Caenorhabditis elegans: one gene and its partner. The protein of the gene in region 1 purifies or fractionates together with the protein of each later gene. This does not show direct contact. Each region holds a gene or a part of one and is shown in the gene's direction. Other genes may lie near its edges. The genes, in order: spd-3 and faxc-1.

What was found.
Region 2: the proteins of spd-3 (region 1) and faxc-1 purify together in Caenorhabditis elegans (affinity purification with mass spectrometry, with the first as the bait; one study listed by BioGRID). This does not show direct contact.

What each region holds. Positions count from the first base shown.
Region 1 is NC_003282.8:6,760,728-6,765,795, forward strand, and holds spd-3 (Spindle defective protein 3), read left to right. Parts: upstream 1-1,988; 5' UTR 1,989-2,070; coding exon 2,071-2,239; intron 2,240-2,289; coding exon 2,290-2,428; intron 2,429-2,857; coding exon 2,858-3,104; intron 3,105-3,373; coding exon 3,374-3,666; intron 3,667-3,709; coding exon 3,710-3,902; intron 3,903-3,945; coding exon 3,946-4,182; intron 4,183-4,227; coding exon 4,228-4,386; 3' UTR 4,387-4,473; downstream 4,474-5,068. Other genes in the region: usp-4 (Ubiquitin carboxyl-terminal hydrolase), read left to right, coding at 1-671, 748-890, 937-1,049. UniProt on the Caenorhabditis elegans protein: In the first mitotic division in embryos, required for mitotic spindle alignment and asymmetric cell division.
Region 2 is NC_003280.10:12,261,951-12,266,650, forward strand, and holds faxc-1 (GST N-terminal domain-containing protein), read left to right. Parts: upstream 1-2,241; 5' UTR 2,242-2,247; coding exon 2,248-2,394; intron 2,395-2,914; coding exon 2,915-3,382; intron 3,383-3,851; coding exon 3,852-4,046; 3' UTR 4,047-4,155; downstream 4,156-4,700. Other genes in the region: tric-1B.1 (Trimeric intracellular cation channel type 1B.1), read right to left, coding at 4,161-4,271.

The sequences.
Region 1 (5,068 bases):
AAACATTTCTTCATAAATCCAAAGGCTGTCGCTGAACTCGGAGGTGGAAATTCCAATGATGACGATTCGATGAGCGGAAGCAACTCTGCCGATGAACGAGAACCATATAAGTTGTTTGTCGGACCGCCTGGATCAACAGCTTCTCTTCCGATCCCACCAACGGACGATCCAATCCCGTTCCCTGATGAAAATTCTCATGACATTTACAGTAACTTCCTACAAATCGTTTTCCAATGGAAGGATCTCAAGATTTTCAATCAATACAAGGGAAATGAGTTGATAGAACGCGAGATGACCGTTTCTACTCGTCGGAAAGTTCTTTTGCAAGAGACTCTGGACTGGTTCACAACGAAAGAACAACTCGGAGAACAGGATTCGTGGTACTGTCCTCAATGCAAGAAACACGAGCGAGCCACGAAGCAATTAGCTCTGTGGAAGCTTCCGGAGATTCTCATTCTCCACTTGAAACGTTTCCAATACACCAAGTGGTCTCGTGAGAAGCTGACATGGGAGGTTGTGATTCCTGTTCGTGGGTTGGATCTTACCGACAAAGTTGCCAATCCGAATCACGAGAAAGCGATCTACGACCTTATTGCCGTATCACGTCACTATGGATCCTTGAGTGGAGGTCATTACACTGCCATAGGCTACAACGACAGGGAACAGAAATGGTAGGTTTTTGAAAATGCACCTTCTTTTAGATAGTGAATCTAATTTTAAAACATTTTTATTTGACTCGACTTTCAGGTTTGATTTCAACGATTCCTCAGCAAATCCGACATATCCTCCAGCTGAACCCTATGAGTCGAGCGATCCCTACATTCTTGTATACCGAAGACGCAAATTGGATTCAAATGGAAAACCGATTGAGCCATCAGCAGTATCTGAATGTAGGTTCCAAAAATTCAAGTTTTTATTAAACTGTAATATTTTCAGCTCTTCATAGTCGACCGAAAAGAGGAGCTGCTCCAACAATTTCATCTGCAACATCATCAGCTTCATCGTCTCGCCATCAAGTTGACGAAAATATGGAGATGGAGGAAGATTGAAGGCGTCCTCCGACAAAAATGTCCAAGTTTTCGTTATGAAAAGTAAAATGTTTGAAAGATGTGCTTGTGCGTAGTTTCTGGTACAAATTTGAACATTTTTGTCGGGTAGGAAACGATTCTCCCAGTAACATCGCGGCGGTGTTCTTTCCTCGCTTCGCTCCATTTCAGTTTGAGCTTTATCCCCCATTTGCTCGAATTATTTTTCACCGCCAATCATTTTATTTTGTGTGTTTTTAGTGTCTTTCTCACATTCATTTTTTCATGTGTCTGAACCATTTTCTATGGAGTTCCATGGTTTCCCTTTTGCCCCCCGTTTTTCATATGCTTATTCGCTTCTGTGATTTCTCACTTTTAATTTACTCGAATGTTTTCATATTCGTCCAATCAAATTTATGGAGATATTTTCGCGTATTATTTGTGGTATCTTATTTTTTCTATCTCTTCCTCCAAATCTCTTCTAAAATCTTCTAACGATACGGTGTTTGTGTGTCTCTATAGGTTATTCTACTTTTAATTCGTTTCTGATGTCGTTTTACCCATCCTAGCCTTTCTTTTTTTAAAATCATTTTCAACGATTTAAGCCTATGTGCTTCCCATCTTAATTATTAATCAGTATGTTTCACACTGAACCATTTTTCTTTTTTTCTCGAAATCCCGTTTGAAAATGTCATGTTTAGTAGTTTCCTAATTCTATCAATTTTATCGGATTATGTGCTACGTTAATTTTTTTTCGTGGTATTTTTGTCTGTCTCTTCCGGTCCCTAAATATTTTTAATCCTGAGTTGTTTCCGTTTTTTGGAAACCATTTCAAATGATGAATTGCTTTCTTTCTGAAAATTGTTTAATTCATACAAACAGCATGAAATCGATCCATCGGAACACATTTTATCTTAAAGTCATCGTTTTCTTTCAATTAAAACTTCAAAAATAGATTTTCAGATAAAAACTTTATATGTCATTTTCGTCATGGCTTTCACGGCGGATTTTTGTTTTTCTCGATTCAGACCGAGTTTTCGAAGAGATGGATCAAATGACAGTCGAAGAAAAGATTTTAGAACATCAGGAACTTGAAGATGGTTCAAGTAGTTTCAGATGGTTAGTGTCATCGACAGTAATCGCAATTGGTGGGGCTACTGTAGCTTTGTATATATCTGGAAAAATTGATTGGAAAATACCAGCAATTGAAGCAGGTTAATGAGACGCTGATTATCAAATTAAAAATAAATGATTAATATTTAAGGACTTGCTCTGACTGCTGGTGGCACAATTACTTGCGGATATTTATGGTTTAAGAAGAGAGTGAAAACTGTTCGAAAACTTATTCTACAAATGAATAAAACAAGATCAGCTCTACGGAAAAGAAGACAAATTTTCTTTAGGTACTTATTATTACGAGAATACAAAATTCTGAGTATTTATATATGACCCGCAAAATATCTCGAAGCGAAAACTACAGTAATTCTTCAAATGACTACAGTAGCCATGGTGAAGATTTGCGTGCTCGATTTTTGAATAGAGACAGCGATATTCCATTTTCCTGCGTAAAATTGTATCATATTTTATTTTCTCAAATTTAATATTCTTCAGATAAATGAATAATTTTAAATCAATACGAAAATCGAGCCCGTAAATCGACACAAGCGCTACAGTAGTCATTTAAACAACTACTGTAGTTTTCGCTACTAGATATTTTGCGCGTCCTTTATACTGCGCAATACGCGTTCTCAGAATATTGTGTACCTGTAATAATAATTCGGATGAGAGTGTAAAAGTAATCATTTCATTTAAACAAATCAGAAGTTTTCCAGTATCTCAATGTGCATGCCACGTCATCGTCATCCATCGATTCTTCGTGCTTGTCGTCTTACAGTTTCAGCCATTGAATGTCTCACAGAAGAGACGAAATCACTGAATAATGGTACCACGTGGCAGGATTTATATACTGATGAGATTCGAGAAATCATTTCAAGGAGTACTGTAGATTCACAATTACTGAAAATTGAGGAAATTCAAGAAGGAGATAATGATAAAATGGATTTTGAACAAGTTTTTGAGGTATTTCAGATAATTTTTTAAAAAAGTTAAATTGCGTTTTTGGGTCTTGACACATTTAAATTTTTTAGTTACCATACAAATTATTACAAAAAAAATTTAATGCATTTAAAATCAAGACAGAATTCAGAGAAAAAGAAAATCGACCGTACTCGTGAGTGGCTGAAAAGTTTCAATCGTTTCAGACCCAAATACATGATTTCGCATTTAAGAAAAAATCACTTTCTCACTACCAGCTAGTGAGAAATTTTGAATTTGAATAAAAATTTCAGACATTGATATCGATATTCAAACTTCATGCAAGTGAATATTCCCGTGTTGTGATCCTCAATTTTCTGAATTCGCCCGTATTCGAGTCAAAAAAAGTTTCAAAATTTTTTGAAACTTTGGGACGTCTTCAAGAATTGATGTACAATTTGGAATCTGTTGAAAGACTTGCATTGAAGACTGAAACAAAACTTTCGAGAAATGAAAGAAAAATGGACGGAAAAATGAAAAATAAATCTTTATTAGAATTGGGATGGAAGCAACAAACTGCACTTGCACTAGAAGCTATTTTGGAAAGGTTGAAAAGGTTAAAATTGAAATATAAATTACTGTTTTTTTAGATTGGAATCTGAAAGTGTTACTCAATCAGAAGTTGAATCAGCATTACATAAAACTTTTCTTGTCGTCAAGGCTGAACCAGCATTTCCACAACCTGTGAAGAAAATTGATGTAGAGGTGAAAAATCAAGATCAAAAGAATCCAGAAGTGATCGTTATCGAGAAGGGCACAGGAGAAAGGACTGATATAGATATGGTAAATATTATTTTATTTTCCGTCAGGAAACTATTTGTTTCAGGTATTCGAAGGAACTCCCTTATCAGAAGCTGATAAACTATCTGCTTCAAAAAGTGCAGTAGCTCGAGATGTTCTCCTAGATGGATCTGAAGGACGTTGTCATGAAGCAAGTCTTTTTGGAGAGCTGAAAATGGTATTGGAGCCACGGAGGACAGATTTTGCGAAACGAGAAAGGACTGCACTGGCAAAGTTCTATGGAGTTGATGAGCATCAATTGGAGCAGAAGGAAGATGAAGAAGTATGTGCTGATATTAAGATTAAGAAGTTATGATGGATTTTACAGACATTTGAAGCGATAGCATCTGGTGATGGTGAAGATCCGGATCCATATGACTGGAGGAAGGATGCTGAAATGAGTGCAGGGATTCATCATGATGCTAATAATGACGACTTTCTGAAATCTTTGAAATTGAGACGAGTCGATGATGATATTATTGAATAATTTTTAATTGATTTTCAATTTATATAACACCGTATTTTATGTCGAATGCACAACGGGAAGCTCGTAGGCTAATAAACATTTTTTGTGATTCCTGACTTTTTTTATTTGACTTTCCAGCTTATGCATTTTGGCAGACACTGAAGATCAATCTATTGTGAGCTTTATATGAAAAATGTTGCTGTTTTGTGGAATATGAATGTTTTTGGAATTTAAAATTTTACGGTTTCAAGCTTTTGTTATAATAAGCACAGTAAAATTAGCAAATAGTTTCAGTCTCGCTTATAATTCTCTTTTTAATGATCTCGGCTCCACTGCTTACAAATTTGAGAAACTCTAGTCTTAAATTTATGTACATTTCTAGACACTGATATCAGTGATATTGTGTTTTTTTGCTACTGTTGAAAACTCTACAAATCTTCATTGATATTTGAAAATCAAAAATAAAGATTTACAAATGCAGAATGAAACAAAGGAAAAGTTTGTAAATTTCAGGTTAATGCGTTGTAAGACCCGGAAAAAAGGAAATTTCGATTGGAGCATTTGACATTTTTAATGTACAATAATAAACACCCCACTTGAAAACTGTGTCCTGTAGAAGTTTTGTGATTTATTTCCCAGTATATTTACCTGTTCTCTTCAAAATTTCGTCCGAAAAGAAAATGTCAAATCCTCAATAACTTGG
Region 2 (4,700 bases), on another chromosome or scaffold:
AAATTTTGGGTATACAAGTTAATTATCTTGAGTTTACCAACTCGATTTAGGCATACGGTGTCAGAGTGTCCCATTTCGATTTGATCTTCGTAGATCTACAAAAAATGCGGGAATTTTTTTCCAAAAATATGTGCAAAGTTCTCAACTGATTTCGTATGGTCAAGAAAGTGCTGACGTAACATATTTTTGGGAAAAAAAATTCCCGCATTTTTTGTAGATCAAATCGTAATATGACATCCCGGCATTACGTGGTTAGGTACATTTGGTAAAACTACCTTAAAGGTACCTACATAAATCGAGTTGAAATCGCCAGATAATTAACTTGAATACCGAAAATTAGACGGTGATTTCAAAAAAGTTAGTTTCCAGTCGCTGACAAATTTCAGTCAAATTTCAAATTTAATTAGGTCATTTTTGAGCCGCCATAACTTTTTTTGAGCAGTTTCCAAGAATTGTCATTATGAAATTCAGGGTGTTTTCAGACAATTTCAAGTCTAATAAATCAATAAATTGCTCATTGTTGTTGTTCTGTTTCGTAGGAAAATCGTGCTTCTTCCTGTGAAATTCTCGGCAAAATCGAATAAAATTCCTTTGTTCCAATTTTTTTTGTTTTCAAAACTTGTCAATTCCGAAACCCCAATTTTTCAATAAATGAATAAATCATCATGATCACCAATGTAAACCGGAATCCCCTTCCCAGTACCATCCATCAAACTTCCAATTCACTGAACACCGATACACCTTCTCTCTCTCATTACACTTTGCCTATTCACCCACAAGAACCTTGGCAATGTGCCAAGTCGGTTGGAGAGAGGTTACCCGCTATCACTCGACCAGATCGACCTTCAGGCGGTGGCGGTGGCGGGAAGGAGGAGGTCATATTTGTTAGGTTCGCCTAAACTGTCATATAGTTTCTCTCTCTCTCTCTCTTGACTCCTTTTTCGTTTTGTTTTGTCTCTTGTTGCTGCTGCAGCAGCTAACCGGCGCTTTTATGGGTGCACCTACAAATCAAACATGACTAATCGCTTTCGTTATTGTCTTCATTGTTATGATTGGTTTGGAAATTACTTTTTTTCCCCCAAAATTTGCTTTTTTAACTTCTCTTCAATGCTCCTTTATGATAGGTTTGAAAATTCCTTCTCGATGATTGTTCACTTTTTCGGAAAAAGTTCTTCTTTACCAATTGGCAAGTTTTTTTCGGCAAAAAAAAGTGGTGGCCGAGTTTTCACTCTTCCATCTCCATGGTACCAGAGAGTCCTATTTTGGTTTGATCTACGTCGATCTACAAAAAAATGCGGAAACTGATTTCGCATGGTTAAAGGTGGACTAACGGTTCGGACGATTTTGAACGTATACACAAAATGAGCACAAATGAACGAATTTCGTAATGAAACTGCTCAAAAATTTTCAAAAATGTTTTATGGTGGTTCAAAATTTTGAAAAAATTACACTGATTTTAGCTAAAATCTCGAATTTTGCCTATTTTTTGGTGTCACATCGGTCCGAAGTTGACTTTTTCGGAATTATCATCCTTTATTGCATATTTCGGTAGTTTATCTCATTTAATCTCGTCGATTAAGGTACATTTAAAGCCGATAGGTAACCAATTTTGATGATTTTTGGTTACCTATCGGCTTTAAATGTATTTTAATCAACGAAATTAAATAAGATAAACTACTAAAATATGCAATAAAGGATGATAATTCCGAAAAAGTCAACTTCGGACCGATGTGACACCAAAAAATAGGCAAAATTCGAGATTTTAGCTAAAATCAGTGGAATTTTTCGAAATTTTGAACCGCCATAAAAAAAATATTTTGAACAATTTTTGAGCAGTTTCATTACGAAATTATTTCATTTGAGCTCATTTTGGGTCTATACGTTCAAAATCGTCCGAACCGTTAGTCCTCCTTTAAGAACGTGCTGACGTCACATTTTATTAGGGCAAAAAAATCCCGCATTTTTTTTGTAGATCAAACCGTAGCATTGCACCACATTTTCGTGCTCAATTAGAAATTTTCACTTCTCTGGGACAACCGTATTTTGATTTGGAAATTGAAACATTTCCAAATTGAGATAATTGATTTTCTCTCGAAATTGAGTGTTTTATTGATCCTTCCTTCCTTCCTATACAGAAAAATGCTTCAAATTCCTCTCTCTATCTGTCATCATTATCATCTCTCATTCCGCTGTCAATAATCACATTCACATCGTCCAGATCAATTTTGATTCTAATTCAAGGTGACGATGCCATCGACCAACTTGACGAAACGCGACTGGGAGAAGGATCACGTGTACTTGGTGCAGTTTCCGAGAGCCGGATGCATTCCATCGCCGTCTCCGTACGCGTTCAAGGTGGAGACGTTCTTGCGTGTCGCCGATATTCCGTACACGGTAAGTGAGGGCAAAACAAGAAAAGTCGAAAATTCACGGTTTGATCTACAAAAATGCGGGGATTTTTCGCCCTAATAAAATGTGACGTCAGCAAGTTCCTAACCATGCGAAATCAGTTAAGAACTCTGCGTTTCATTTTCCCGCATTTTTTGAAGATCTACGTAGATCAAGCCGAAATGAGACACTCTGATATTACGTGGAAAAATCGACAATTTAACGTGACAGAGTGTCCCATTTTGGTTTGATCTACGTAGATCACGAGAATTGCGGGAGAAGAGACGCAGCAGACTTCTCAACTGATTTCGCATGGTTAAAAACGTGCTGACGTCACATTTTGGGGGGGGGGGGGGGGGAATTCCCGCATTTTTTGTAGATCAAGTGTCAATTCGGTCTTTAGAAACCCATTTAAGATCCAACTTAGAATTGAATAAATTTCAAAAATTCGGCTTTTGCATCAGCTATTGCTTTTTTGCTGAGCTCTCCTAGCCTTCCTGACGGCGTTAAACCCATCAACTTTCAGAACATCAACAACGAGTTCAAAAAGATGTCGGCTCGCGGTCAAATCCCATTCATCGAGCTGAACGGTCGCCAGCACGCTGACAGCACCATCATCATCGACAATCTGACCGAGCACTTCCACAAGTCGGATCTCGAGGATCTCTCCGCTTCCGACAAGGCCATCGCGCGAGCATTCTTCGCACTTCTCGAGCATCATCTGTGCTGGGTGAGCTTGTACTCTCGCGGTCAGGACTTTGGATGGCTAGCCACTGACACCGGATTCGGACGTTTGTTGACCGGAATCAAGGGGTTCGCATTCAAGAACTTTATCGTCAAAAGCTTCACGAAAAAGGTTCGCGGACGTGCTGCCGCTCAAGGAATGGGAACTTTCTCCAGGGAGGAGGTGTTGGATCAGGCGAAGAAGGACTTGGACGCCATTTCGACACAGTTGGGCGATAAGCCGTATCTCTTCGGAAGCAGCATCAAGACGGTGAGTGATTAGGCTTGGCAGGTTCTGGCTGTCCCATTACGGTTTGATCTACGGAAAATGCGGGGGAATATTTCGCCAAAGAAAAATGTGACGTCAGCACGTTCTTAACCATGCGAAATCAGTGGAGAACTCTGCGTCTCTTCTCCTGCATTTTTTGTAGATCTATGTAGATCAAGCCGAAATGAGACACTTTGACACCACCTGAGTAGAACGGAGTACTTCATTTCAAGGATGGACGTTAAAAATGGATCCCGTGTCCTAGAGATGATCGGAAAACTTTTCCGATTTCTGGTGTAAACTCGAGCATCCAGGTGGTTTGATCTACGTAGATCTACAAAAAAACTGCGGGAGAAGAGACGCTTTCGTATCGTTAAGAACGTGCCGACACCACATAGTTTTGGGCAAAAAATTCCCGCACTTTTTGTAGATCAAACCGTAATGGGACAGATTACTAAGCTTCAAATTCCAGATCGATGTGACCGCATTTGCTCATCTCGCCGAGCTCATCTACACACCACAATTCAGCCCGGAAATCCGTGCCTACATCGACGAGAAGGTTCCGAATGTGATGGAATATGTGATCCGTATCAAGGAGAAGTATTGGCCAGATTGGGAGGAGACCACGAATACGATGAATATGGCAACGGTGTGGAAGAAGGCATAATCACTTTTTTTTTTGATTTTATTAATCCCAATTACCAAAAAAAAAAACCAAAGTTCACCAAAGAATCTATCATTCCGAATTATTTGAATAAAGTTTGAAAATTATGAAACTAACCAACAGATAATGCGCGACATCAAAGTAGGGATACATCTTGAGCCGGTGCAATTGAGCACCGGCGTCGAGAAGAATCTCCTGATCGAGCTGAAAACTCTCCGGCACCACCATCGTTTGAGCAGGTCGTCGGCCTGAAAATGTGATGTAGAATTTGGGTGGATATCCGAAATTTGTCAATTGGAAGGAAAAATTGTTTTTTTTTTTCGTAAAAAATCGGAAAAAACGTTGATCTGGAAAATTCAAAATTTATTTTTTTTTTTGGCAAAATTAAAAATCATTTTATGAAAATGTAAAAGATTCTATTAATTTTTTTCAGAAAATTCGATTTTTTACAAATTTTTTTTTGAAATAAATGACAGAAAAGTCTCAATACACGTGGTGTCAGAGTGTCTCATTTCGGCTTGATCTCCGTTGATCTACAAAAAATGCGGGAGAAGAGACGCAGAGTTTTCAACTGATTTCGCATGGTTAAGAACGTGCTGACGTCACATTTTTTTGGGACAAAATTCCTGCATTTTTTGTAGATCAAACCGTAATAGG